Tamandua tetradactyla: one gene and its partners. The protein of the gene in region 1 interacts with the protein of each later gene in a pairwise test. Links are inferred from orthologs where the notes say so. Each region holds a gene or a part of one and is shown in the gene's direction. Other genes may lie near its edges.

What was found.
Region 2: the proteins of GRN (region 1) and NLK interact in binary tests that used the Homo sapiens proteins (3 or more experiments, as listed by UniProt). The two-hybrid records come from large-scale screens. The link is inferred for Tamandua tetradactyla from reciprocal best matches to the Homo sapiens genes GRN and NLK.
Region 3: the proteins of GRN (region 1) and GLRX3 interact in binary tests that used the Homo sapiens proteins (3 or more experiments, as listed by UniProt). The link is inferred for Tamandua tetradactyla from reciprocal best matches to the Homo sapiens genes GRN and GLRX3.
Region 4: the proteins of GRN (region 1) and FAM76B interact in binary tests that used the Homo sapiens proteins (3 or more experiments, as listed by UniProt). The link is inferred for Tamandua tetradactyla from reciprocal best matches to the Homo sapiens genes GRN and FAM76B.

What each region holds. Positions count from the first base shown.
Region 1 is NC_135332.1:23,122,696-23,130,422, reverse strand, and holds the start of GRN (progranulin), read left to right. Parts: upstream 1-4,718; 5' UTR 4,719-4,831; intron 4,832-4,990; 5' UTR 4,991-5,072; intron 5,073-7,116; exon of another isoform or gene 7,117-7,378; intron 7,379-7,452; 5' UTR 7,453-7,455; coding exon 7,456-7,593; intron 7,594-7,707; coding exon 7,708-7,727. UniProt on the Homo sapiens protein: Secreted protein that acts as a key regulator of lysosomal function and as a growth factor involved in inflammation, wound healing and cell proliferation. Regulates protein trafficking to lysosomes, and also the activity of lysosomal enzymes.
Region 2 is NC_135332.1:51,201,587-51,209,114, forward strand, and holds the start of NLK (serine/threonine-protein kinase NLK), read left to right. Parts: upstream 1-4,512; 5' UTR 4,513-5,664; coding exon 5,665-6,119; intron 6,120-7,354; coding exon 7,355-7,420; intron 7,421-7,528. UniProt on the Homo sapiens protein: Serine/threonine-protein kinase that regulates a number of transcription factors with key roles in cell fate determination. Positive effector of the non-canonical Wnt signaling pathway, acting downstream of WNT5A, MAP3K7/TAK1 and HIPK2.
Region 3 is NC_135339.1:92,763,243-92,770,340, forward strand, and holds the start of GLRX3 (glutaredoxin-3), read left to right. Parts: upstream 1-4,083; 5' UTR 4,084-4,096; coding exon 4,097-4,191; intron 4,192-7,098. UniProt on the Homo sapiens protein: Together with BOLA2, acts as a cytosolic iron-sulfur (Fe-S) cluster assembly factor that facilitates [2Fe-2S] cluster insertion into a subset of cytosolic proteins.
Region 4 is NC_135334.1:47,133,418-47,140,705, forward strand, and holds the start of FAM76B (protein FAM76B), read left to right. Parts: upstream 1-4,282; 5' UTR 4,283-4,601; coding exon of another isoform or gene 4,602-4,646; 5' UTR 4,647-5,840; coding exon 5,841-5,927; intron 5,928-6,755; coding exon 6,756-6,820; intron 6,821-7,288. Other genes in the region: CEP57 (centrosomal protein of 57 kDa), read right to left, coding at 4,602-4,646. UniProt on the Homo sapiens protein: Negatively regulates the NF-kappa-B-mediated inflammatory pathway by preventing the translocation of HNRNPA2B1 from the nucleus to the cytoplasm.

The sequences.
Region 1 (7,727 bases):
TGAGTCTCAGCTCATTCTAGGATTTCTGTCCCACGTTGCCAGGAAGGTCCACACCCCTGGGAGTCATGTCCCATGTAGACAGGGGGAGGGTGGTGAGTTTGCTTGTTATGTTGGCTGGAGAGAGAGGCCACATCTGAGCAACAAAAGAGGCTCTCTTGGGGGTGACTCTTAGGCCTAAATTTTAAGTAGACTTGACCTGTCCTTTGTGGGGTTAAGTTTCATATGAACAAACCGCAAGGCTGGGGGCTCAGCCTATAGCTTTGGTTGTCCACACTGCTTGTGAGAATATCAAGAATTCAACCTGGGGAAGTTGAATCTCTCCCCGTTCCCACCATTCCCCGAAGGGGATCTGGAGGTTATTCTCACATGTTAAATAGATATCACCTTGCTAGTCAAGATGTAGTGGAGAGGCTGGAGGGAACTGCCTGAAAATGTAGCGCTGTGTTCCAGTAGTCATGTTTCTTGAAGATGTTTGTATAATGATATAGCTTTCACAATGTGACTGTGTGATTGTGAAAACCTTGTGTCTGATGCTCCTTTTATCTACCTTATCAACAGACGAGTAAAACATACGGAATAAAAATAAATAATAGGGGGAACAAACGTTAAAATAAATTTAGTAGATTGAAATGCTAGTGATCAATGAAAGGGAGAGGTAAGGGGTATGGGATGTATGAATTTTTTTCTGTTTTCTTTTTATTTCTTTTTCTGAATTGATGCAAATGTTCTAAGAAATGATCACGATGATGAATATCCAACTGTGTGATGATATTGTGAATTACTGATTATATATGTAGAATAGAATGATCATAAAATATTTGTGTTTGGGCGGGCCATGGTGGCTCATCAGGCAGACTTCTCACCTGCCACACCAGAGACCTGGGTTCGATTTCCGGTGCCTGCCCATGCCAAAAAAAAAAAAAAAGAAAAAAGAATATTTGCATTTGTTTGTTGTACATTTTTTAAAAATTTAAAAATTAATTTAAAAAAAAGCTGAAAAAAAAATCCCCATAAAGCAAGAGACATGGGGACCAGGCTCCACGACTGTCCGTCCATCTCTGACACCCAAAGAGACCAGTGGAGGGTCAGGGGCACGCTGCCCACCTTGGGGTCAGGCTGAAGGCCAGGGCATCAGGGAAGGAGGTGAGGTGACAGCCAGCATGGGCAATGGGGGAGAACCTGTCTGTGGGGACTTCGAGCAGTGAGTTATTTCCATGTAAGCAAACCTGGAGGGGAAGGTATCAAACCACCAGGCTGGACAGGGGCGAGGCTATGCTGGGAAAATGAAAGGAGTCCCCAAAACAACAAGGGCTGGTTGGTGCAAGGGAATCAGAAAGGAAGGACTCAGGAAGGGGCACACTGGGACGGGAGCTTTGGCATTAAATCCCTTCGTGACCCTGGAAATTTGCCTCTTCAGTCTTCCTGGTCACAAAATAATATCCCATTTCTAGAAGCAAAAGGCACCTCACCTGGACCTGTGAACTGGTAGATGTAATTGTTTTAGCCAAACTTCCGTCTCCCTAGTTTTAACCTTTCCCTTCAATTCCTGAGTAAGGTGATAACTCTCTGGAGGTGTTTGCAATTAAATAGGAATGTATTGAATTATAACAGTAAAACATCTGGAATGGTTTTCCCTGAGTCTTTACATTTGGACATTTAATTTAGGGTCAACTTTTCCTGATCTTTGACCACCTCTGGCTTCCTTTCAGGCTGGCTCTCTGAAGCCCTGAGAGCACTCAGGGTATATATGTGTTTCGGGGGGTGGGGGGGCAAGAGGTATGATTATTGTATTAGTTGGGGTTCTCTGGAGAAACAGAATCAACAGGGAATACTCGCAAATATAAAATTTATAAAAGTGTCTCACGTGACCGCGAGAATGCAGAGTCCAAAATCCACAGGGCAGGCTGTGAAGCTGACGATTCCAGTGGAGGGTCTGGACGAACTCCACAGGAGAGGCTCACCAACTGGAGGAGGAAGAGAGCCTGTCTCTTCTGAATCCTCCTTAAAAGGCTTCAGTGATTAGATTAAGCATCACTCATTGCAGAAGACACTCCCCTTTGGCTGATTACAAATGGAATCAGCTGTGGATGCAGCTGACATGATCATGATTTACTTCTATGAAATGTTCTCATTGCAACAGACAGGCCAGCACTTGCCTGACCAATCATACAGGTACCACCACCTGGCCAAGTTGACACATGAATCTGACCATGACAATTAGAGTAGAGGGGATCCGTTAGAGTCTCATCTTAAACCTCTTTGGTGAATAAACCTCATTCATTCTCGCCCAGATTTCAAAAATGAAGTGGAGGCTTTTGCACTACTTTGCATGCCAAGAGCAGCGTTGTCGGCACTCTGCCTAGCACACAGCAAGCCTTCAGAAATGTCAGCCACTGACACCACCACCACCTGTGTCATTTCACTACCCTTTTTCTCTGTCATTGTTCTTTACTCCCATCATTTGTCTCTACCTCCGGATCCAGTACCCATGCTGGCCGTGGCTTTTTTCTTCTTCACTGTCAAAATGAGGCCTGACTTTATCCTGAGCCTCTCTATAGAGATTAACAATAAATTACAAGAAATTAAAAAAAAAAAGCAAAAGACAGATGAGGTTCTTGAATTCAAGGTTTAAGAACCCCGGAGGTCTTCTGGAAGGAGGTGGTAGAAATTCCACAGTCCTTGGAGGCAACTGCCCTCTCCAGGGAAGGGTTGGTTGTTTTCAGTCATTTGGGCAGGGCTGTTGAGTAATCAGGCTGTTTAGTAAGCAATTACTGTCTAAGTAGAGTAATTGCTTATGATTTAAACTTTCCTGAATGCTCAGTCTCATGCCTCTGACCACTCACTGTTGCCCACAAAAAAGGGATGTGCTGAAGGCCTTTTGGGTTGTGCAGGCTTGCTTTTAAGTTGTTCGATCTGTGGTTTGCAGTTTTCCCTCTAAGGCTTTTAATCCTTGCCAAACACAAAGTGACTGCCCCTAGAAACTTCCACACACACAGCCCCCAATCTATCGATAATTTGCTGTTGCTGAGGAATCAGATAACTACGTTTATTAAAAGCACATGAAACAAGAGATTAGATGCTCTATATGTGGAACACTTTAGGGCTCTTATGGAGAAAGTTTGGGACCCTCCAGAGCAGGGTCTCTCAACCTCAACGCCACTGACATTTTGGACCTGAAGTTCTGTGCTGTGTGGGTGCTTCTGTGCATAGGGAGATGTTTAGCAGGTTCCCTGGCTCCTCCCCACTAATACCAGTAGCATCTCCTTCCCCAATTGTTACAGACAACCCGAAACGACTCCAGACATTGCCCTATGTCTCTGGAGGACAAAATTGCCCCTGGTTGTGAACCATGTCTTTAATTAGACTTTGTGATGCTATTTTCAGTCGTTTTTTTTTAATTTGCCTGTATTTTTGTGGATTTTTTTGGTTCTGTGTAGTTGTGATTAAAGGACTTATATATTAATTTGTCTAACATTTCATAAAGTCATGTGTGTGTGTGTGTGTGTGTTCAGTAAAAGCATAAGCAGGGGGATGGAATAGTCCTAGATTATCAGCAGGAACCTTGTCCACTTTTGGGATCCTTCCTAGTTCCAGGCTAAGAACCGCCACCCAATTCCACAGTGCTGCCCCTCCTTCCCTACCCAGACTCCTATCACTACTGAGTTTGGTTATTTGTCCCTCTACCCCAGCCTCACCTTCGGCTCAAGTCATTTCCTCAGCTTGCCGGCCCTTCACCCACTCTGGGAGACCAGGTCCCAGCACCCTCCCTGGATGGCTCCTCTCTGCTGGCCAGCCTCCCATCACCCACCCGGGCCTTTTGGCGTGGGGCGATTCTGGCTCCTGTGGCCTGTCAATCCACTGTGTGTGGTAAGTTGTCTCCCCTCACCTGCCAGTCAGTTCCTAGACAGGAAGACCAGCTTCCACTAGGTCGGCCCCAGACCCCAGCCCAGCCTGCGCAGGTAGCCAGAAGCGACTCAAGCTCACTTCGCTGCACGTGGCATTCAATCCCTGCCCGTGGCTGCCCTTCCCATCTAGTTTTCTGATACTTTTCCGAACATCCTTTTTCCAGCCGACTCTCCAGCCCCTCAGTACTCCCAGAGCCAGCTTAAGGTGTTCCCTGGTGGGATTAATCCACGCCCCCAAGCCCAGGTACTACTCACCCCCTACACACATCTATAGCATCTGGCACACGACCTTGCCTTAATTTAGTCTGAGCCTGTCTCCCCTTCCCCAGGCTGGGGGCACCTCGGGGAAAGGGACGGGGGCTAGGGGCGTATTATTCTTGTCCTTACAACCCTCCCTCAACCCCCCTTTGGATCTGACGGCCTAGCATTTAATCCAAGTGTGCTGGATGGAACAGGGTGGAACAGAATAGGGTAGAAAGGGGCTGCACACACGTCACATCCTATGAACACCCGGGATCGCGCCCTCTGTCATGTCCCCTGACACCGGCGGCCGCGCGAGGGACAAACTCCGGCGGAGACCGCAAGGCAGGCACAGGCAGCGGGCTGGGGCGTCATGTGATTCTCCAATCACATGATGCCTAAGAATAAGGGTGCGGAGAGAGAGGAAGTGGGAGGGAGGAGAGTGACTTGGGCAGGAAAGATACACAGCATTCCAGTCTGGCCCCGCCTCCACGTCGACAAGTGACCAATGGGAGCGCGGCAGCGGCCCCCTGGCCTATGGGGACGGAGGTGGGCGGGGCAGAGGCGCCGCAAGTCCAAGAGCGGCGGGGCTGAGGCCGCTCAGGCAGCGCCGACTCCGAGGCCGAGTGGGAGGCCGCCCGCGCAGACCCCTCGCTTGCTCCTGCCTGGGGGCCCGGCCGCGGACGGTGAGCTGGAGGCTCCTCTGGAGTCTCAGACGGGAGACAAGAGGAGACTCGCTTATAGAAACTGCTGGGGGGGTTCTCCTGCACTGGAGGGAGTTCTGTAGGCGAGGGAGCGAGCTGTCACTACAGTGACCCGCCCCCTTAGAAGGGTCCCCTCTCCAGGATTCCCGGAAACTGCAGCCCCTTCCCCGAAAGCAGAGACCGACCAGCCCGTTCTTGAGCCAGCTTCACCCCCTGTTAGCAGGTGCCGGCTCCTTCCTCTCCTGGTGGGGGTGGGGGTGGGGGGCGGGGGGCGTTCCCGCGACTTCTTGGAGAGGGGAAGCGCCTGCCGCTCGTCCCGGAGCTCGGAGGGGTTGGGAGGGGGAATTGAAGCTCAGGCCTCCTCGAAGGTGGAAGGGATCTGGAGTGGCGAGAGAGCCCCGAGGTGGTGCCTGGCGCTTCCTTACTTCCTGTCGTGGGGGGAGAATGTGGGAGGCGGGACGAGCTAGCTTCTCTCTCTTCCTGTCACTTTTTCCTGCTCAGTTGCTGCTGGGTTGGCCCACCTTTAGGGAATCTCCCTCAGCCCCGGTACTCGGAGTTGGGGGTGCCTCCTAGTGGAAGATGATGGTACTGGGGGCTGGAAGAAGCTTCTGTCCTCTCTGTTGTGGTAGTGTGGGGTGTGGTGAGAAAGGCTGCCACTCAGAACCTGGTGAAGAGGAACCAGAGGGAAATTGAGCCTCTTGGTCCTGCATGCCTCGCTGTGTGCGTGTGCTTGCGCACGCATGTATGAGTACATTTTCGATAGAAGCATACACCATACTTCCTAACCTCAGGATGCACAGGAAGGAAAATATACATAAATAAGTCATGGAGGCCTAGATGGGTGTGGACAGGCACCCTTGTGGCCTAAACCAAGAGCAGAGCCTGCTGTGTGGTGAGGTTGGACCCACCACCAACACCCACCCAAGAAACAGATGAGTCAGAGGCAGATGCTTAGGTGGTGGAGAGAGAGAAAGGGACAGTGGGCCCAAGATTAGACGTCATCATCCTTTTCGGGCTAGGAGATGACTTCTTGGGAATGTTCTTTGAGTTGAGAGAGGGACACCTGAGGAAAGCCAGGTAAAGGGGAAAGAAGATTTAAGGGACTTGGTGGAATTTCCCAACCTCCTTCCCTTTGCCTCCCACTCAGTGCTGCCACACATAGACCATGGGGACCCTGCCCAGGGACAGGGAGCAACTTTTGAAGCTCTCACAGTTGGTTAGTGGCCAATTCTAGGACCAGGACCCAAATGCAGTTTCCACATTGTACCCCCTGTTTCCACCCTGCCTGGTTCACCTGCCCAGAAAATCTTTTTGTTCCCCTCCCTCTGCTTGGACCCAGGTGCTCTGTCCTTCTGGGGGTTCGTGTCTATTCTGGGGCACTGGCCAGGGTGCCACTTATGAAATAAATCCAGGTCCAGTGTGTTCTGCAGCCATCAAGCCTGTCATCACCATGATTTGTTATATGACATGGGCGTGTTACTTGACATCTCTGAGGCTCCATTTCTGCCTTTGAGAAGTAAAGATAATTACTACTTTGGGTGGTTGTTGCAAAGAAGAAATAAAATGACCAGTGCTGTCACTGGCCACCAAGAGGCTCAACACACCTTCCTGTCTGCTCCTCTAGGCCCAGTAACAAGCCCCAGGCCTGCCCTGTTGAACTCACAGGGCTGCTGAGCTTGGGGGAAGTGCTGTTGGGAAGTGAGAGTCTATACCCCTCAGGGACATGAGGGTCGGTTCCTCCTGCTGCCTCAGATTGGCAGACAGGTGGGCAGGGAGGCCCTGGCAGGGCACATATGCTCTCTCTGTGCTTGTGGCTGAGTTTTGGCCCCGAAGGTTTGGGGAGAGGTAGGGCAGGGGATTGTTATGTCTGGGGAGTCTGATAGGGCGCTGATGGTGTTCGGGGGGGTCCCTCAGAGAACAGAAGTCTCGGAGGTTGACCCAGGCTGTGGGAAGAAGGGGACAGTGGTGGGCAGGCAGTGGCTGGCCTCTGGAGAAGGTAGCTCCGGCCCCACAAGCCACCACACTTCCTTTCTCACAACTTTCCCCACACTGTGGTTTCCCACATCACCCTGTGATGACTCCCACACAGGCACAGCAGGTGTGAGCACAACGGGGGGGGGGGGGGCGAGCGGGCACTGGACGGCATTGGCTGGGGAAGGGGAGGCCTGGCTTTACCTCAGGGAAGGTGGGAGCTCCCTCCCTCCAGCGCTGCTCTCTCCCAGGGTTACTGCACCCCTCCGCCCCCCAGTGGCCCATGTCCCCAGAGATCAGACCGCCAAACCCCACATGCCTTCCTCACTGGCACCTGTGATTGTGATTGCGAACCACCCACAGAGACGCAGGTGTCAGGCCATGGGTCGGGGACACAGTATATGTATATTCATACTGACATGGCCAGGAGATGACTTCTTGGGGATGTTCTTTGAGTTGAAAGAGGGCTCCTCCAGGAGACATGGTGGGAACTGAGTCTCAGGCTCCATATCTTTCTTCCATCCTGGACAGTGAGTTGTTGGGGATGTTCAGGCAGGCCTGTGGGTGAGTGAATCAGTGCTCAGAATCGACAGCGGCATGGGCTTAAATCGGTTGCCAATTTTTGTGAACAGACAATGTGGACCCTGGTGAGCTGGTTGGCCTTGATGGCAGGGCTAGTGGCTGGAACACAGTGCCCTGACGGTAAGCTCTGCCCTGTGGCCTGCTGCCTGGCTGCAGGAGGAGACCGCTACAGCTGCTGCAGTCCCATAGTGGTGAGTGCCCCACACCCAGGCAAAAGCTGGCAGCCTGGATTTTCCCAAAGGGTCGTCCTGGAAAAGGAGGAGGCCAGGCAGTCTTTCAAATTAACCTCTCCCCTTTCTTCCCAGGACGAACAGTCCTCTCTGCT
Region 2 (7,528 bases), about 28 Mb from region 1:
GTCAAGTCTGCGGAGAGGGGTCAGGACATGGAAGAAGCGTGGCCGGGAAAAGGTGCATGTGTTGAAAGGCCAGAGGTGGTCCCCCCTGCACGCCACTTAGGGTTTTAGGTAAAAAATGTTGAAAAGATACCATGGGCCCAGTGAAGGAGGTCCTAGGCTGCTGTTCTTCCCCATGTTCCAAAGCATCCCTTTCTTGGCTATTTCCTCCAGCTGCATGTATAGTGGGAGGAATATGCACAGAGGAGCCAGCCTAGCCCAGTTCTGTCACTCACTAGCTGCATGAGGTTCCATACGTTACTTTGCCTCCCTGAGTCTGTTTCTTCATTTGCAAAATGGGATGTAGTGGTGATTTATCATATGAGACAATGTTTAAGGCATCCAGTGTTGTTGAACGTGAGTTGTTCCCTTTTGTAGTCCTTTAATCACCCTGGTCTTGGCCTAAGTTCTACAAAGTCTCTGCAGACAACTCATGGGGTGAGCCAGTTCTTGGGAAGAAAGGGAAGATTACCTCCCACTTCCTGCACATTATATTCCTGCTTACATATTCTGATGTCCTGCTTGCTTTTTTAGGCTCTAAGTGCTATCTTGCTGACTCACTTCCGACTTCTCCTTCATCATGCTCAGCTCCTGAAAATGGAACGGAATGGAAAGGGCCGGATATTGTACTGTCTGATGATGTGTTTAAAGGGAATTGGGTGGCAGGCATACCAGCTGTATGTGGATGGAATACTTGGGGACATGAAACCAGCAGTGCCCAAAGCGTATTTCTCATATGACACTTAGGACACTTCGCCTTGGATTTTAATGCTAATAATAATCATTCCACTTTCTGCCACTGATGAGATACCAGGCAGGTCCTGGATTATGTGCTTTCCATGCATTGTCTCTTTGAATCATCACAACAACTAAAGGCAGCAGGGATCTCTCTATTTTATGGACAAGGAAATTCAGGCTAAAATAGTTTAAGGAACGTTTCCAAGGTCACACAGCTGGTGAGAAGCACAGCAGGGATTCAAACCCCTGATCTAGATCTGTGCTGTCTAATGTGGTAGCTACTAGCCAAGTGAGGCCAACAAGCACTTGAAATGTGGCTAGCGGGAGTGAGAAAACTGAATTTTTAGTTGAATTGAGGTATAAGAGCAATATATACACCAAATTTCAAAGATTTAGCACTCAAAAAGAGAGAAAAAGAATGTAAAATATCTTTTTTTTCAAGATAACCTGTTGAAATGACAATATGTAAATGTATTAGGTTAAATGAAATTTATTATCAAAATAATTCTGGTGCTCACTTCGGCAGCACATATACTAAAATTGGAATGATACAGAGAAGATTAGCATGGCCCCTGCACAAGGATGATACTCAAATTCATGAAGCGTTCCATATTTTTCTATGTAAAAAAAAAAAAAATTCTGTTTCTTTTTACGTTTTTTTATTTGACTGTTAGAACATTTAAAATTTCATATGTGGGGCGGGCCGCGGTGGCTCAGCGGGCAAGAGTGCTTGCCTGCCGTGCCGGAGGACCCCGGTTCGATTCCCGGCCCCAGCCCATGTAAAAACAAACAAACAAACAAAATATAATAAAACAAGAAAATGTTTAAAAATGTTTCCCTTCCTTCCTTCTCTGTCTTTCCTTCCTTTCCTCCCTCTCTCTTAAAAAAAAAAAAAAAAAAAAAAAAAAAAAAAAAAAATTTCATATGTGGCTTTCATTATATTTCTATCAGACAATGCTGATCAGAGCTGTGAACATTAAATGGTCACTAGACCAACAATTTTCAATATTTTTAATAATATTTTTTGAGCACAACTCTGCAATATATATACATATATTTATTTATAAGTTATCTACATTTACTTTACTCAGTATACTAGGTACAGCATAAAATACTAACAAAACAGAGCTTTTAAAAAGATGAAATATAAAGTAAATACAAATAGAAGTACAATTTTCTTCCTGGAACCTAACGGATCACTGTGCACCTCTTGGAGTGTGCACACATCATTTTGGAAATTCTTGCACTAGATTTAGAGCTCCTGGAGGGCAGAAACTTTATCACATGTACCTTCCCTCCCTAGTCATTGACCCTCGCATCATGCCAAGATATAATTATGTTTGTGAACAGAATAAATAATTCTTAATGTGTAGCTGTTTTCTGATGAATTAGATTAATTTATTTCACATGTGTTGAGCAATTTCTATGTGCAAGGTACTATACTAGGTACAGAAAAGAAAACAAAGTTTAAGAAGATTCAGTTCTTCTTAACTTTTTCATGTGTAAGAATCACCTGGAGGACTTGTTAAAATACAGATTCCTGGGCCCTAGCTCCAGAGATTCTGATTGACTAAGTCTGGGGTGGAACCCAAGAATTTGCATTTCTGAAAAGCTTCTGGGAAGCTGTATTCTGGTGGAGCCTCATGAGCAAAAGGCCTGGAGGAATGGGAAAAGCACCCCAAGCATTGCATGAGGATGGAGAAAGAAAGGGAATTAGCATATTCTGAAGTTTTAATATTTGTCAAACATTTAAAAATGTATCATTTCATTTAATCCTCACCTCATCTTGATGAGACGCATATTATTATCTTCATTTTCAGTTGAGGAAATTGAGACTCAGAAAGGTTAGTTAAATTGTCTAGTAAATGGCAGAGATAGAATTTGCATGCCTTCTTCACCCAATAACACGTGTAAATCTTTGGTAAGCATCATTCTTCTTTTTCAGGCACTTTTCTAGGAATTGGGGATGCAACATTAAGTGAGGCAGATAGTCAGCTCTTGGTCCTTGGTAACTTCAATAAGCAATTAGAATATCGCGTTTTCAGTGCCGTGAGGCCAGCAGTACCATGGAGATATATAACAGAACACATACTGTAGGACAGGGTTGCAGAAAACTCCCAAGAAAGATAGTGAAAGAGCCTTGAAGGATGAGTGAAAGTTGGGGGAGTGGGGGATGGGTGGAAAGTGTCTGGGCTGAAGATATACATGAAGGCTTGGAGGAAGCAAAGCATGAGAATGTGAAGTGTAGAAGGTGAAAGTGAGAGATAAGGCTGTAGAGGTAGGTGGGAACCAGATAGGGTTGGACCAGTTAGGTTTATTGATTTACCTTTACTTCAAAGTAGTGGGAAGTCTTTGAAGGGTTTCAATTAGAAGAATGGCATAGTTAGACTTGCATTGTTAAAAGAATACTATTCCCCCAATGAAGAACGGATTAGAGGAGAGTTAGTCTGTAGGCAGGGAGATGAGTTAAAGATGCTACTGGTGTATATTTGGGTAACGATGGGGGGACTGGAGAGAAGTGGGGAGGTAGAAGTGTTTAAGACTTGATGATTGATTGGAAGGACAAGGGTAGAAAGGGAAAGAAAGAATCAAGGATGACCTTCAGGTTTCTGACTGTGCGGTTTTTGTAGGGATAACGTCTGTAACCTTATTATTTCACATTTTAATAATGTGAAATATTATTAAACATTCTTCTTTAAAAGAAGAAATGATTCAGATAATTATGGTTACGTGAAAGAAAGATATTTTAGTAAGAGTTCAATGAACGGAATTTACTTGACTTAGAATATATGAGGGAAAAATTACTATCCTTTAGTTAAGTTTCGTTTTTTGTTTTGGTTAAATTTGTATCAGTAGCCTTATTGTTTATGGAAAGTGGAGTTCTGAATGCTGGAGATAACGCCACTTTTTTTCAATTAGGATTAGCCATGGAGGACTAGCCATAGGCTAGTAACTATCAATTTACTGAATTTCTGCCGTAACTGTCTTGTTGAGTAAACCTGAACCTTGGATTTCTAAAGCTCAATATCAACCTTGCGCCTTAAAAAGGAGTAGTAAATAGTTTTGTCAATGGACTAGCAATAATTTGAACTCCGCCTTCCTCACCTCGGCTCCGCCCCATAAATCTTTAGACCACACCCCTTTCAATTGGCCCCGCCCCTTGAAGAGGTCTTCGCGGAGATGACAGCGAATTCTCTACAATCCTGCCCTATAGGAAACCTGAAGGGCGGGACCGAGATCAATCTTTTTTTCCATTTGTCAAACCAAGTGTCTATCTGGCCTCAGCCCCAACCCACTTCATCTTCAACCCAAGGATTGGTTGCTCTCTTCTTTATCCCCGGCTTATGATTGGTTCTTTCATTCCGCCCCTCTTTTCTGGCTTTTGCAGGCGGGATTACCACGCAGCTTCCTGCTCCTGCCAAAAAAAATAAAAGAAGAAAAAGAAAAGAGGAGAGAGGCGAAAGAAAATGTCACAGAGGTCTTTGGTTTTCAATTCGCTTCCAACCTTGTCGGTCAGGCCAAACCTTGCCTTTTGATTGGTCTTTTTATCTGCCCATCCCGGATCTGGGGCGGGATTTCCCCAGGAGACCCACACCTTACTGCCACTGGCCGAACGGTGCGCCTGTCTGAAGCTCCTGGCCCAGGATTGGCAGCGGACCCGGACAGGTGGGCGTGGATTGGCTAAGGCAGCCGGTCAGTGTGAGGTGTGGGCGGGGCCTCGGCGGCTGGTTGCGCGTGTCCGCCGCTGGCTCGGCTCTATCCGGCTTTGCTAGGGGAGGTGAGTCCGGCCGCGGCGGCACCGGCGGCTGAGGAGGCGGCGGCTGAGGAGAAAGCGGCCGCGGCGGCTGTGGAGAAAGCGGCCGCAGGGACGGAAGCCGGGTGGGGGGGAGGGGGGGAGACGGAGCAGCCTTGAGCCCTGCGGGGGCCGTTGCGCGGGGGGACCCACCCGCTCTCCCCCCCAACCCTCCTCAGCAGTAGCAGCCGGCGGCGGCGGGGGCAGGAGTCAGCCGGCTTCCTACTGCACCCCGCCCGCCTCCCGGGGCTCCTTTTCTTTGGCCCCGGGACCCTAACCTCATCCCGGGGCGGTTCCCTCTGTCTGGGCGTCCGAGTGTTGCCCATCTCTACTCTTTCATCCTCGCTGCACCACCTTACCCTCACTTTGCCCGGATTCTCTTTCTCCTCTCTGCGCCTGGCTTGTCGCTCCTCGCCTCACTCTATCCCTCCTGCCTCCTTCTCTGGCTCATTCTGCCCAGGAAAGTTTAGAACCCTCTCCCGACCCCCCACCAAGTCAACCTGACTAGGAGTATGGGGAGATGTAGGAAGGCCTGAGAGTTCGAGGTGGGGGGGAAGCTGGTTTCCCTGAAAATTTCCCCCCGTCTTTTTAATTTGGGGTGGTTGGAATTTTTTTTTTAATTGTGTTTTTGAGGAGGTGGTAGGTGTTCAGAAAAGGATGTGGGAATGGAAGGGGTAGATGATTCAACCCTTTTACAAGATTCTAAGGGTAGTGTGTTACCTGATCCTTTTCGTGTGTGGAATTCAGGGGGTTGGGAGGTTTGGCCTTTATTCCCACATTCAAAATTGGAACCCCCCCCAAATTAAGAATGGAGTTTTAGTACCCACCTGTGGCAGGAATCCTGGGGGGAAGGGGTCCTTTTTTCCTTTTTCTTTTCTTTTTCCTTTTTTTTTTTTTTTTTTGGCAACTCACACCGTTCCACACACACTCAGAAATTAAACACCAAGATCCTCTAACTTGTTTGGATTGACTGATGAAGACATAAAGCCAGTTACGCTCTATGTTTTTTGAAGTGGAGTGAGTGGTTTTCTTCATTTTTAAATGGCCAAATGACAGCTTGACCCAGTTTGCTTTCCAATCAAAGAGCATTTTTTTGAATGTCTCTTTGTGGCACAAGAGCCAACGCAAAAATGATGGCGGCTTATAATGGCGGTACATCTGCAGCAGCAGCAGGTCACCACCACCATCACCACCACCTTCCACACCTCCCTCCTCCTCACCTTCACCACCACCACCACCCTCAACACCATCTCCATCCGGGGTCGGCTGCTGCTGTACACCCTGTACAACAGCATACCTCTTCGGCAGCTGCGGCAGCCGCAGCAGCGGCCGCAGCTGCAGCCATGTTAAACCCGGGGCAACAACAACCATATTTCCCATCACCGGCACCGGGTCAGGCTCCTGGACCAGCTGCAGCAGCCCCAGCTCAGGTACAGGCTGCCGCAGCTGCTACAGTTAAGGCGCACCATCATCAGCACTCGCATCACCCACAACAGCAGCTGGATATTGAGCCGGATAGACCTATTGGATATGGAGCCTTTGGTGTTGTCTGGTGAGTATCGAAAGAAACCCAACTTCTCATGGTTTCTTCTCATGGTTGTGATTGGGCAAATCAGCCCTCATGGTTTTCTCCATGTTGACCAAAGTGGAGCAAGCTTCTCAACTCACCTGTAGAAAGCCACCCGCAGTTATATGGTAAAGAGGCCTAATGTGTTGGCTATCCAGGCTTATGCGTTTGAAGCATGGCAAATTTTGGTCAAGCACCCACTGATGAGTAACGCACATAAGTTTGCTATCTATTGAACTTTTCTATTTAGAACACAAGCAAGCCACCACGTGTAGGATCAATAGAAATATGAAATTCTTATTCCTAGAAAGACCTTTGTCATCTCTCATATGTTTGATTTAGTTTGGAGCCATTACACTGGGCTCCAAACAATTGTCACAACTGACTTGAACTCTATTCCTTATTATAGTCTTGTCATCTGGATATGCTTTGCATAATTACTTTCCTTATCCTTTCAGTCATTTCACTCCTTAGTTTGTGAACTTGATTCACCCCCACCTCCGCCCCCTAGAAGGAAGGTAGAATTCCTTGTTGAACCAGTTAGGATCGTTGCTTGAGAGGTTTATTTTAAACCATACAGATACAGTTGGGAAGCATGTAGCTTTAGCCTTTTGATAAGAATGCATTAAATATAGCACTATACATGAGTACCACAAATGAGGTCAGTAGACTGTAGCTGTGCAGTGGCCCACATTCTCTATAATGTTTTAATGCCATTTAGTGTCTCTTAAATTGCTGTTATCCTTTGATCTGTTGAAGTTGTGTAGTGGGAAGTATACTTTTTAAACAAATGAATTTGCTGTATTTTCATTGATGCTATGATATTTTTAAAAGTCTGAGGGCTTCTTAAATGTAGCATTTTGGTCATTTTTAGCAAGATTAGTTTATAAAAAATGTATTTATCAATGTAGGGTCCTATTCCTATCAAAACATTTAGAGAGAACTGAGGGTTTTTTCAGGGATTAAGTAGTCCAGTGTGGATAGATGAATTGTTTTTAGAGCATTCAAAAATAGATTCTTGTTAAGGTCTAGTTAAGCTGTCATCAGCACAGGAAAATGAACTCTTTGGAACTAGCCCTATAAATGTCTCCTTTTGTCATTGTTTTTAAGGCTGTAATTGATCTGAGTATCATTTTTGCATTATGTTTAGCCATCCTTATTTATAGTTCAGATTTTATAACCTAGGCTATTAATTGATATGATCCATCTTTTTAAACTAGTGGAGTCCAGTATTTTACCCTCAAGCTCTCCAAGGAGGTTGCTGCAGCAGTGCTCCCTTTTCCAAGGTATGCGGGATTCCTAGTGGGAAGTAGAGTGTAGCCCGTATCCGTGCCTCTTCAGTGGCTCTGCTCAGGGGCTTGCCTGTTCCTGTCTTCCTCTCGTCTCTTCCATAG
Region 3 (7,098 bases), on another chromosome or scaffold:
ATGCTCCTGCATATACACCTGTACGTACCTGTAGATACCTGTAACTCAGATTCAGCACTCTCCCCAAAACGTGGCTTGAGTTCAGTGCTGAGCTACTGAGTAGTCTTTGCTGCTGAAGTCAGAGCATTTTAGAGGGAACAGGCCATCTGCTGCCCCCTAGGCTTGCTGATCTCAATCATGATAACTGCAAGAAAGGGCAGGAGGGGGACTGGAAATGTTTTCCAGGCATTTTCTGGGGGCATTTTTGTTGAAGGGAGCATGCTCTGCAGCTAGCGTATACCACTTGCAGCAAATTCCATTTAAAGGAAAAATCAAGATTTATAAAACAGCCACATTAGGGGGGCAATTACTTGCGTTTTTTGAAAACTATTCACTATTGCACATTTCCCTGGTGTATTACAGTTTCATTATCTTAAAAAATTACAAAGCTAGTCCATGTTCTTTGAAAAATGCAAACGACACAAAAGTGTTTAATGTAAAAAGTAAAGGGCCATCCTTCAAACTCCCCAACTTCTAGTCTCTGGGGGCAAGTTCTAATATTTGGGGACACATCCTTCTGAAAGTTTTTTCTATGCTACACACACCTATCTTTACATATTTTGTCTACATATAATTCCATGTTTAAAAATGATTCTCAGATACACATACTATTTTACCATATGCTGTTCCCCCCTCCTATTGCATTTTTATAATAATCACTAAGGCTTTTATGTATTTTTTAAATTAAACATTTAGTTTTGAGATAATTGTAGATTCACAACTGGAGTTGTAAGAAGTAATGTGGAGTGACACTGTGTACACACAAAAGTTTTCCCCAGTGTAGCACTGTCTCACAGTCAGTGACATTGTAATGACATTGATACAATCTACCTATCTTATTCGGATGGCCTCAGTCCTGTTGATGTTCATTTGTGTGTGTGTGTTTAGTTCTACGCCATTTTATCACAGGTAGGCTTGTGTACCCACCTGGACTCCCACCTCTGTCCCACATTTTCAGTAATGTAATTTACCATTCTCAGTGGCATCTGCTTCTCAGAGTGAGGTGTGTCTGTAATGTGGCTCCTATAGGTTGCTTTTAAACCATTAGAGAAGCACTGTCCAACGAGAATAAAAAGTGATCTGCAAACGAAAGCCACCTATGTAATTTTAAATTTTCTAAGAATCTCATTAAAAAAAGTAAAAAGCAGCAGGTTTAGTTTATGTATTTTATGTAACCCAATATAGCGTTTCAACCCAATATTATCATTTCAACATGCCAACAATATAAAAAATATTAATGAGATATTTTGTGCTCTTTTTTGTGCATTTTATACTTACGGCACATTGAAATTCAGGCCAGCCACATACCAGCTCTCGGAGGCATGGAGCTGCCACAATGGATAGAGCCACACTGGACTGCACGGCTCTTAGCTGCCTGCTGTGAGTGCTTCTGTTTTTTTCCAGTTTACACACTCACAATTCTCTTTTCTGTCTGCCTCCTCTTCTGTTTTTTTTAAAGATTATGTATTGCTTTTTTAGAAAAATATTTTTATCAAGGTCAAGCCATGGAAAATATACAATCAATATCATCACATAGTTGTGTATTCATCATTGTGATCATTTTTAGAACATTTGCATCACTCCAGAAAGAGAAATAAAAAGAAAAAAGAAAAAAATCCATATATTCTGTACCCTTACCTCTCTTCATTGGGCGCTAGTATTGCAATCCATCCAATTTTTTTAACCTCTTATCTCCCCCATGATTTTTTTTTTCTCGCATGGGCAGGCACTGCCAGAGAACCCCGGTCTCTGGCACAGCAGGCTAGAACTCTGCCACTGAGCCACTGTTGCCCATTCTCTCCCCACCATTTTTATTTCTGTTTTGATCTTATTTTTTTGATCATCTGTCCATACCCTGGATAAAGGGAGTGTCAGCCACAAGGTTTTCACAATCACATGGATGCACTGTAAAAGCTTTATAGTTAAACAATCACGTTCAAGTATCAAGGCTGCTGGAATACAGTTCAACAGTCCTAGGTACTTCCCTCCAGCTACTCCAATACACCACAAACTAAAAAGGGATATGTATATAATGCATAAGAATACCCTCCAGGATAACCTCTCAGCTCTGTTTGAATTCTCTCAGCCACTGAAGTTTTATTTTGTGCCCACTTTTGGTCAAGAGGCTTTCTCAATCCCATGATGCTGGCTCATCCCGGGAGTTCTGTCCCACGTTGTCAGGGAGATTTACATCCCTGGGAGTCATGTTCCACTTAGAGGGGGGAGGGCAGTGAGTTCAACTGTGGAATTGGCTTAGAGAAGAGACCACATCTGAGCAACAAAAGAGGCTCTCTAGTTGTGACTCTTAGGCATAATTATTTGTAGGCTTAGCCTATCCTTTGCAGGAATAAGCTTCATAAGGTTGAGCCCCCAAATTAAATGCTCGGCCTGTTGAATTGGTTGTCCCTATTGTTAGTGAGAATGTCGGGAATTCCCCAGATGGGGAAGTTTAATATTTCCTCCTTTCTCCCCAGTCCCCCAAGGGGATTTGCAAATATTTTTTTATTTTCTGGCCAAAATAAACTCTGGTATGTATCAGAGCATCACACCAACCTGTACAAATCCTTCTGCCTCCTCTTAATTCTTCCAGATTAATTTTTTCTCTCCCACCCTGGAAAATGCTTTATGCTCAGTCCATATTTAAAAGGAAAATTTCTTTGTAAAAAGAATTTTGTATTCTGCTCCTCTCTCTCAAGGATACCTGTGCTCACCCTCCCAGGCCACCGAGAGATGTGCAGGGCAGCACGCAGGGGATTGGCACAGAAGTGGCAGAGCAGCACAAGGCCCCTGGGGCGAATTCCCTCTGCCAGCTCCTCCCAGCATGTGGCTCACCTGAGAGTGTGGCTTGTGGAGGCTGTCCCTGTCCACTCTCTGGGTTGTAATACTGCCGATGAGCCCTGCTCTCTGCCCCGTACTGACATCTACTGTGCTCTAGCCCAGGCATGGGATAAAGACAATTCCTGCCCTCAGTGGGAGCACTGGTGAAGGGGAGCACGTTCTTCACACAGGGAGCAGTAGGGACAGGTAGGGAAGGCTGTGTGGACACTTTCTCAAGGACGGTGCAGGAGGACTTTTAAGAGAAGCCCCAAATTCCTGGTGTAGCACCCCTTGCGATGGGAACTATGGGAGGAGAGTCTGGAGAAGATGAGGGCAGGAGAGAGCTCTGGACTTGCAGCCGAGCCTTCCCCAGACATTTAAGTCAGTAGGGGCACCGACAAGATGACCAGGTAGGAGAGAGTGTGGGGGAAGGCAAAGGACACCCTCAGAAGAGTCGACTTTAGGGGGATGCGAAGGAGAGCAAGGGTCGCCAGGGAAGGCCCGAGGCAAGAGGGGTCTGGGAGCTTGGGGGCCTGATTGGAGGTGCTAAGGGGGTCCTGGAAGCTAGGTTGGTGGAGTCCCAGGTCCTGCTGCTCTCTGGTCACAGTCCCTTTGGGTCCAGCTGGGAGTGTGTGTGTGTGTGTGTGAGGGGGGTGGAACGCGGTCTCCACGTAGGGTTCGTGGGAGGCGTCCTTTAGGTGAGGTTTGGAGACTGGGCAGCATTGTGTTCTCAGCCTTCCCAGTTCATGCCAATCTTTACGCTAAACTTTAAAGATTTCAGCTTGTAAGTGCACAGCCTGACTTCACGCACCTGCACACACAAATCCTTCCTCTGCCCTCGGGCCTGGTTTTCAAAGCTCGGAACCTGAAGCTGTAGGAGCTGCCAGCAGGAGGCTGGTGGGGTGAGGTCTTAAGCAGGTGGGACTCTCCAATCAATTAAGATTCCTGAGTCAGGACTCCCAGAGATCAGGAGTCAGGATCCCCGGGAGTCAGGACCTTCCCAGGGGTCAGGATCCCCGACAGTCTCGAGCACAGCGCGCGGATCTCGGCCGCTGGAACCCGGCTGGCTCTGGCTGTGCGCTGCAGGCCCGGCGGATCAGGTTTCGCAATAGCCCAGCCCCGCTGTGGGGGCGTGGCCGGGGAGGCGGAGCTTTGCCGGCGCGCGGCCGCCCCGCCCCGCCCCCGGCCCCGCCCCCATCGACCCGCCCGCGCTCGGTTGCTCCAGTCTGGCGGCGGCAGCATGGCGGCGGGGGCGGCCGAGGCGGCGGCGGCGGCGGCTGTGGTGGAGGTCGGTTCAGCCGGGCAGTTTGAGGAGCTGCTGCGCCTCAAAGCCAAGTAAGCGGGCCGCGAGAGGCAGGAGCTGGGCGCGGGCCGCGGGTACGGGCCGCGGGGCCGGCGGGCCTTGGGCACTGAGGGAGGAGAGCGGCCATGCCGGCGCCTTCACGCCCCGCTCGCCCGGGCGTCGGTCGGTTCCGCCCGGCCCCGCGGGCTCCCCGGGCTCCCCGGGCTCCCCGGGCTGTCCAGAGCTGCCAGGCCCGAGGCTTGGGCGTGCCCCGCTCTGGAGGGTGCGGCGGGGCCGAGAGGGTCGACCCCCGGCCCGGCCGGGCCCCCAGCGCGCTGGCCTGGCCGCCCCCGCCGGGCGCGGTGACTCAGCTTTCCCGAGGCGCTCGCTGCGGGCGGGGCCGGGGGCTGCGCGGAGACCCGGGCCCGGGGCGCGGCCGCCGCGCGAGGGACCCACCGGCGGGCTCGGCTCCTTTGTGCGCCGCCCGCCGGGTCCTGCCAACTCAAGTCTTTCTCTTTGGCACCGCGTTATAGTAGGGCTTGGCTTCCTTAGGGTGTTTAGCCTTTCTTTTAGAATTAGTGTTTAAAGTTTGTCACAGGCAGGCAGCGCTAGCATTTCCAAATTCGTCGTTGCCATAGACGGGGAATTCGTGTTTCAGGAGCTGCTTTTGTCAGTCGGTTCCGGGTTGGCGCACACGTGCTTCTTGCCCTTGAGAGTCCACAAAAGGAGATCCATCGGGATGCACAGAAAACGTTTTTCTGGAGTTAGACACTGAACCGTATGAGTGCTCACAGGTAAATGCTGACAGGTGTGCCCATGGGCGACCGTGGTAATGCACATCACACTGTAGTGTCCTCAAGGACAGCCTTCAGCTGTAAAGGTTAAGATGGGAACTTAGGTGGTCAGATCGCCTGTGGCATCCTCAGTTCAGCCCCCTTCATGGCTGGGTGACCCTAGGGTGGGCTTCACTTAAGCCTCAGTTTCCTCAACGGGAAAGTGGTTGAGAATTGTACCTCCCTCGTGGAGCTGTTGCCAGGATCAAATGAGATCAAGTAAAATGCTTAGTACTTGGCTTGGCATGCAGGAAGCACTCAATGAGTGAGTGGGAAGCCTGTTGTTTTTCAGTAGAGAGTAGCGTGCGTGCGTGGAATTCACTGGTGGTAAATGCTTTTTGACCTTAATACAGTAAAATTTTGCTGGCTGAGTTTGAGTCAGAGGCAAGTTGTATTTTGTGCTTTTATAATGGAGACTGCGATGAGATAGGGGAGTTGCCTTTGTTGAAAATGGGGAGGGGTGAAAGTTGCTCTGTTCTGGTTGACCACCCTTTACGGACAGGATGAAGTTCAAGACAGCTCTTTGGGCGTCTCAGGCTTACATTAGAAATTGTCAAACAGAAGGAAATGATGAAACCTGGATTCTAATTCAGCCAATACTTTTCTGCATACACACACACACACACACACACACACACACACACACACACACAATCTTAAGGCAGCAAATTATGGAGGACATGAGTGATGGCCTTTAGAAATGAACAGGGCTTGTGTGGACCTGCCTTTAATAAACATTTTGGACTTAACCATCATCTGAAATAAACTGTTTTGTTTGTTGTGTGCTTCACGTTTTTGTTTTTATGCTTCATATTTTAAAGTCTTTAAAATATACACGGGTAAAAGTTTACATGTAAAAACCAGTTAGATGTATTCTTGCTGCTTGTCTATACTTGAAATAACTGAAAGGACTATACTGCTTCCCATAGAGATTAGTTTAAATGAGTACCTGGGCAACTTGGCATAGGAGGGAGGAACAAATATCTGCTGTTTTTGTGAAAATGAAAGCATTTACAAATATTAAAGAGTACTTGTGGTAATGCAATCACTTAAAAAGCTTTAAAAAGCATACCTTCTCAATTTCAAATTTGGTATGAATTGACATTTTTTCTTTGCTTAAGTCATCTCAGCAGATGTTTATAATTTATGAAAACTCCAGCAGGTCTGTAGGATATTTATGTCCATTTGCTGAATAATTAATCAGAGCACCTGTAATCATAAAGAAATAACTATTGAGCAGTAGCTATTTTACTGATGAAGACTTGACATTATTAGCCAGGATTTGAACCTGGTCAGTCTTTCTCTGAATGTTTTCCTCAAACATTGCACTATGTATATTGAGTTATCAGTGAAGATGGAGAGAACACAGTTACAGATATCCTAAAGAGGACAACCCCATTTCAGGTTTATGTCCTTAAAATATTGGGCATTATGTACTTAATTGGAAAATGGAAATTTTAAGCATCTAAACATGAGAAAATCATAGATAGTTTAATGTGACAGTAGGCATTTCCATAGTGCTTTAATATTTTCAGAGTGCTTTTATATTTTTGTTTGATCTTCCCAGCAACCCAGGATATTAGGTATTCCTGTTTTACAGATGTAGAAGTTAAGAGAAGTTCAGTTACTGTTCGGTTACCTTAGTAGTGAAGCAACAGAAATTTGAATTCAAGTTGTATGTACTTTTTTCTTTTCCTTTTTTACATAGAATTAAATGCTATAAAGTATGGCAACCTACTTTAATTTTTAAAAATGTGATATGTGAGCATTTTCCCATGTCATTAAAAATTCTTTGATAACACAGTTTTTCTGTTGTATAGTATAACATACATAGAAAGCAAAGAAAAAAAAAGCAGTCGTTTTCAAAGCACTCTTCAACAAGTGGTTACAGGACAGATCCCAGAGTTTGTCATGGGCTACCATACGATCCTCTCAGATTTTTCCTTCTAGCTGCTCCAGAATATAGGAGGCTAGGGGGCTTAAATACTTTTTTCATCATCACAATCGACTTTTTTTTCCTTCTTTTTTTATGAAAAATAACATATATACAAAAAAGCTATAAATTTCAAAGCACAGCACCACAATTAGTTGTGGAACATATTTCAGACTTTGACATGGGTTATAATT
Region 4 (7,288 bases), on another chromosome or scaffold:
TAAGGCAGTTCTTTCACCACTTTTTTCACCTTGATAGTTTAAGGAGATGGGCTTCTGCAGCTGAGGAGGCTCCTTTGGTCCCAGAAAGGTTCTGTATTATTTTCGCCTCACTTGTCTATTTTATATTTTTGTATATCTGTTTAATGTTTGGCTTAAAAGAAGGCAGTTGGATTCTCATATCTGCTTCTGCATTCAATATACTGTTTTGGCTGATATAGATGTTTATAAAGAAAATCTGGTCTCCCAGTACCTGAGAGTAAGGTTAAGGATACAGTCCTCCAGACTGCCAAGTCCTCTCAAGACTTCTCACCCCAAGAGGAAGGAATTAACTACACAATTAAATCCAAAGCTTCCACTGTTCTCAGAAAGTGTTAACCTCCCAACATTAATGTGTAACAATATGCACAGAGTATTGCCAATCTTTCAACATTCAGTGCCCAGAGTCTGTATTGAGGCTTCACTATGTAAGTATGACTGACTGATGATCAACTATTTGGTCTCAGGGGTCCACTATAAAGAGCAATGCCCTCCTTTCTCTCTGGAAATTCCAAGGGTATAGAGATGATCTCCTAGGAGTGGGTGACAAATTCCAGACCTCTCTTCAAGCAAGGCAAAATTCTTTACTACACACTCACAGATATGTGGTTGGTAAGGAAGGAGCTTGTGAACAGTCTGAGATCTCAGGGACCTCCAGTGGTCCTCAGACCACACTGGAAACTGCTACTTTAGAGAAACTTTTCACATCTGAAATGATTTACATTACAGAATACACCTACAGGATTGTTTAAAATAGCTAGCAAACAAATGAACAACATAACCTAAAAACCTCAAAGCCCATCAAGATGCTATGTTACACAGAAGTATAAGTGAATAAATATCATATAAACATACATATACCGATATAGATGATTCTCAAAAACATAAGATAGAAAAAAAAAAAAAGCAAGCCACAAAGGAATATAAACATAAAAACAGAAAAAAAAAAGGAAAGGAATACATCTGTATGTGAAAAAATGATTTTAAAAAATGGGAATGATTAGCTGGAATACATCATGAATAAAAGAAAGGACTCTGGTGTGTTAGTTTGCAAGCTGCCAGATGTGATATATCAGAACTGGAACGGCTTTTAAAAAGGGGAATTTAATAAGTTACACGTTTAAAGTTCTAAGCCTATAAAATTGTCCAAACTAATACACCTAAGGTTACCTTCACTCAAGAAAGGCCCATGGGTCAGGAACACCTCTATCAACTTGGTAGGCACACAGCTGGCATATGCTTCTGGCCTCCACTGCCTTCAGCCTCTGTTCCTGTGGGGGTTCCTCACCTTGCTTCTCTGGGGCTGGCTTTCATCTCTTGGGTTCCCTTGGCTCTATCCAGGTTCTGGCTTAGTATCTCATGGCAATGTCTGCTGGGCTCCAAGCATCTCCAAACATCCGTGTCTCTGTTCTCCACGTGTCTATATCTGTCAGCTCTGCTGTGAAGTTTCTGTCAGCTATGAGGCTTCTGTCATTCTCCAGAATACCTCCTCTTTTAAAGGATTCCAATAAACTAGTCAAGACCCATCTGGGATGGGTGGAGTCACATATCCATCAAATCAAAGGTCACACCCACAATTGGGGGCATCACATCTCTCTGGAAATAATCTAATCAAAAGATTCCCCTAAAGAACTGAATCAGGATTAAAAGAAACAGCTGCTCCAACAAGATTGCATAAGGATTATAACGTGGCTTTTCTGGGGTACGTAATACTTTCAAACCAGCACACCTGGGTTCAAATTCAAGCTCTACCATTTACTAGTTATGTAAGTTTAATGCCAGCTTCATAAGGTAACAACCTTATGTGAAGATTAAATTAACTGATGTATGAAAAATGCTTAACTCTTTGTCTGCCAGTTAATACTATATAAGTATTAGGTATTATTGTAATCTCAAAATTTATGGTAGTGGTTGTGTATGTGTGAAGGAAGATACAAAAAGGGGCATGAAGGTAATCACTTTACTATTCTCTAAAATAAATCATATATATTTTCAATGTTGCTCAAAGTGACATGAGGGCACTGACTGTGGTTATTGGGAAAACAGAGAACCGAAATGAAAGACATTCTTTTGTGTTTCAACTCTATGCTGCCTGAACTTCTAATTTAGCATTAATTCCATCATGTCAATCATAATTGTTTTCCTGCTTTCTCCACTAGAGAGTGATACAGAGTAATCCCTCCATAAATGCTGTTTCTGCTACTCTTATTGCTACTGTTGCAGTAAATAAATACATAGAAAAACCAATTCAAACCTATCACCTACTTTCATGTTGATCATATTTGAAATGTAAGAGATATACAGTTACCCTGTAAAAATCCTTGCCTGGTAAAAGCATCTCCATTTATTATAGCTAGCTCTATCCTGATTTTATCACTTCCAAATACATATGAGTTTTTACTGCTCACAACCCTGAAGTCTGATAGGAGTAATCTGAGTTCACGTTGTAGCGTTATAAGGTCTTTTTTATGCCTTGTCTTAGATTATAATCAGCTGCTAAGCTAAAGTGCTCTTTTTAATACTGCAGGCCATGTTGGAAATGCAGCCTTATTTTAGGCGGACAGAGAAAAAAAATATCTAAGCAGGGCCATCTCTTACGCACGGAGAAATAGGTTAAATTGTGTTGAGATGTAGCTTCAAAATTAGACATTTTGATGTAGCACATCAAGTTAGTTGAGAAGATGGTTATAATTTGATTTGTAAAGGGTCCTAGATATTTTATTGTTCTCAATATTTAGAACCCAGTTAAATCTGAGCTTAGCACATTAAAATATGTCTTCTGTTACACACTCTTTTGGATTTCTGGAGTGCCTATCGTAAGGACTACAGGTTGAGCACATCCCAGCGCCACTACTCATCTTCGGAGTGCAGCTCAATTCCACATTTTAAAGGGTCTTTTCAACCTCAAAGTGCTATTTTAAGAGCACATCTTCTCCCAATTAAGTTTAATTAATCACATCTCATACTGAAAATCTCATCCATTTACAGAGAGACACCTCTTTCTAATTGTCTCATAGTTGTTTTATCTTCCCTTTTACTGACATTAATTTCTGAATAAACTCCAACTGTTTTTTAATCTCTGCTAACCTCTCTGAGGACTTATGATTACCCTCTTTCTGCCGAAACCCTGAAGGTTGCTTCTGGCCTCATTATCCCAAATCCTAAAGACAGCCATAGAAACCTGAAACTGAAGAAAGGCATGACTTCTCAAAGTGAATCTGCTCTTAGCATTCTTTAAACTTTCTCCCCCTTAACTTCTATGCCATTACTTGACCCTGATGTTTTTGGTCTTTTTCTCTCCCAGATTCTATATAAGGACCTTCAAAACCATACTTTTACCTACTTTTCCAATTCATCTCACAACACTACCTCCATATTACCTATGCTTATTCCAAGTTATTTCAAGTTTCCTGAAAGCACCTATTATTTTGGCTCCTATCCCCAAAATGCCTATGGTGCCTTTTTCTTCTTCCTATTCTATTCTTGCAAGAAGCACTTAAAATTCCTTCCCCATTCAACTCCATCTTCTCTTCAAGAAAACCTCATCTGTCTACCCAAACAATACTAGCCACTCTTGCCTAGATTAGTCCGGCATGACAATATTTTTCAAACTGTTCTGTGTAGTAATCATTTAATTATATGTTGTTTCTCTTCAGTGTTTTTCTCCTTCAGAGCAGCAGCTCTATATTCTTCATCTGTGTAATCTCAGCCTAATAATATGCCAGTAACTCACCACTGGCTGAATGAATAGAAAAGTCCTTTAACTTAATAAGCCTTGTCACACTTACTTCCCAACTATTCTCAACGGGACAGTTCCCAAACCACTAAGCATTAGACACTCTAATTCAACCAAGTGACTGAATTGGTGGCCCTTGTGGAGGCGAAAACAATATTTGGAATCATCAACCCATATCTGAAATTTTCAAAAAACGTACGTTTTTAAAACAACACAGAAAAGTACGTGGAAAAGGCATTTAAACGTTGCAGCCCTAATAATATGGTGGGATATGGGAAGCGCGCGCTTCTGGTCTGATCACGGAACAACATTACTGGGAAGACAGGAGGCAGGGAGTCTGCAGGCAAAAGAGTAAGCAAAAACGAGAATGCACGTGATAAACAACGGACTACTCAAAAGCTGTCTATTAAACCGACAAGCGCGCCTACCTGGTCTCCGCCAGTTTCCAAAAAGGGGCCGTTACCGCCACGTGACCAAAGCAGTTACGCTTTCTCAGGCCAGGGAGCCGGTACAGTTTTCCCAGCCGAGTCTAGGCAACATTCGGCAACCTGGACTGCTAGACCCACACGGGGGATGGGGGTGAAGTGGGGCGGGACGGAGGGAGTGGCGGACCAGTCCTGTTTCACTGGAAGCCAGAGGGTGCAGCTTCAACAGAGAAGCAGTGGAAGCAGGGCTAGCATTGGGCGATCTAGGTGCTCCTCCCCCGTGCCCGCTGTTCCTCAAGATGTGATGAGAGGGAGAGCCGAGAGAGCTCTAAAACATGAGGAAAAGGGAAGAGGCACTAAGAAGAACCGATCTGGAGCCTATCCGAACATCAATAGCTTCTTACCGAGAAATGAGAACCAGAAGTCGCAGAAACCGACGCCGCCGCCATTTTTCTCCTGCCCAGCAGGCCTCCGCAGCTCCGGAACGATCTGGGTTCCCGTGCTCTTCTTCAAGATATGTGAGCCGCCCACCAGGGGCGACCGCAAGCCCGGCCCCTGATGGAAGGGGCGAGGGTGCTGGTACCAGGTTTAGAACCCCCTGCCACACACCCCCACCGGGACGCCCAAACTCAGAGCACACGCCGACAGGGCAACACGTCCTGATGGACGGCTTGGATAGCCAATCAAAAAAGCGGACGCCTTCCTGTAGAGAATCCGCCTCTTCCCTCGCTGACGTCACAAGGTAGCGCGTAACTGAGACTGCCAGGAGCCGATAACACTGGGAGCTGCTAGACGGCTTGGGAGGCGACTTTGCAAAGGAAGGAGACTTCTCAAGGAGGAAACGTGGGCCAGGATTTGTGTTGTTGTCTCCGGTGGCAACTGAGTCGAATGATTGAAATAGAGTAAAAATGAATGCGAAGTTCAAACACGCCATCCCTTCTCTTGGGTTAGAAGCCGAAGAGAGCTTGATTTGGGGTGAACTCCTTTTGGCCAATAACAAACCGGACTAGGAGGGGCTTAATGGTTCGGTCCAATAGAAGTCAAATGAAAGAGAGAGGAGGCAGAGACCAAGCCTGTCAAGAACATTTGCCCAATTAGGTTGGGGAGCTCTCACCCAAACCTCGAACCGGCTACTAGAAATAGCTGCGACCCAGGCATAGGGCGGGACTGATTTAAAGCAGATTTCGCGCGCCGAGAACGTCGGGCTGTCATTGGCTAGCAGCTTCCTCCCTTTGTGGGCGCTCCTTGCGTAACCTGGGTGAGGGGTTGGGAGGAGCGACCGAGTGACGCGTAGGCTCCGTGACCAATCGGGGACGCGGAACGGAGGCCGAGAAGGAAGCGGATCGCGTCGCGCAGCTAAATCTTATCGAACTACCGCTTCGTCTCCCTCCGCCGCTACCGGGGCGTAAGCGGGAGAGGCTGGGACAGTCTTGCTTGGTGGGCTGGAGCGGAAGTGGAGGCGGAGGGAGACGGCAGCGTTGCCACAGGGGCCGGGGGACTCTCCGGAAGAGGCCCTGGTGGGCGCGAGGCAGGGGGAGGGGGGAGGAGGAGGAGCCCGTGGCCCGGGCGGCGGCGGTACCAGAGTCCGCCGTAGGGCTCCGCCTCGCAGCGGGCGGCGGTGGAGGAGGAGACTGAGGAGCAGGATGGCGGCGTCGGCCCTGTACGCCTGCACCAAGTGTACCCAGCGCTATCCCTTCGAGGAGCTTTCCCAGGGGCAGCAGCTTTGCAAGGTCTGTGGGCGCCGGGCAGCGGGCGGGCGGGGTTCCCTCGACCGCAATCCAGGGGAGCTGGGTGACTGGTGCACTGCAGCCCCGCGCTCTTCGGCGCTTTTGGGATTTAGGGGTCTGGAGCCTTCGCCTCCCACCCGGGATCCCTTTATCCGAGGGCCTGTACATCAGTCGAGAAGGACCCCTGAGAAAGAGCGACAGAATTCTACCTTCGTCCAGGAGGCCCAAGAGGGGCCGAGCCCCAGCAGCGTTTGGGGGTCTTAGGGGTGGGGCTGAGTAAGGCAGCCACCTGTCTATGCCGCAGAGACCCTGGGATGGAGATGTTTTCATCTCAATGTTCTGCCTGGTCTGTCTTCTCCTTCCACCAGGAGGCAGGGGACAGTTTTTGCACTTTCTTGCTAGGAATCCGAAGCCGCAAAGCTGATGGCATCCTTCTTCCCTGTCCAGGAAAGCGAAGCGACTGGCTTGGGAACAGAATGCTCTATGATTTGGAGCTCCTTCCATCCCATTAAAGCCAGGATGCTGTCTGTGAGCAACGGTGCAAAATAAGTAGTTTCACATTTGATCAGTTCTTGAAACAGGCCCTGACAGCTTTCTTAATTTATCTGTAACATACTCCCACATCTAATACAGACAAAGACGCCTATGCCTTCCCTAAGGAATTATATTGTAATTTGCCATTTATATGATTAATCCCCCAATTGGTTACATTAGTAGATAGGTTTTATTGATGATTGAGACATTTGACTAGGCCGGGTAATAGTTTTCTACCACAAAAGTGAGATTTGGGACGTTGAGATAGATGTTGACTAACGTGTTGTTTTATTACAGGAATGTCGAATTGCACATCCAATTGTAAAATGTACTTACTGCAGATCAGAATTTCAACAAGAGAGGTTTGTATATTTGTACAGTTTTTGATTGTTAAAGACAAAGCATTCTCTCTGAGGAATACTTGGGATATGGTAATTTTGCATGTAATAAATATTTTTAAGGGGTATAGCTTCTTAAATTTTATGTTGTAAACCTTTTATACATGGTGGGAGAGAGAATGTTGGCTAAAACAGTGGTTATTTTACAATTAGACTTCAGTTTACACAAAAGCAAATAAGGAATAAATTATTGCATTGAAAAATATACAGCTTTGCTATGAAGATGCAAATTTAAACAGTTTTTATAAGCTATTAAGAAAATGGTTAAACATTAGTTCTGACATGGATCTGAAGAAAGATCTGTAGCGTTAACCAGTACCTTCCTTCCAAGAGTGGAATCTAGTTACTTATTACCAGTAGAAGGACAGCAAATGCTTTTTAAGAGGGCAATTCCACTTTGAGAACACACAGAAGAAAATAGCTGAAAAGAAG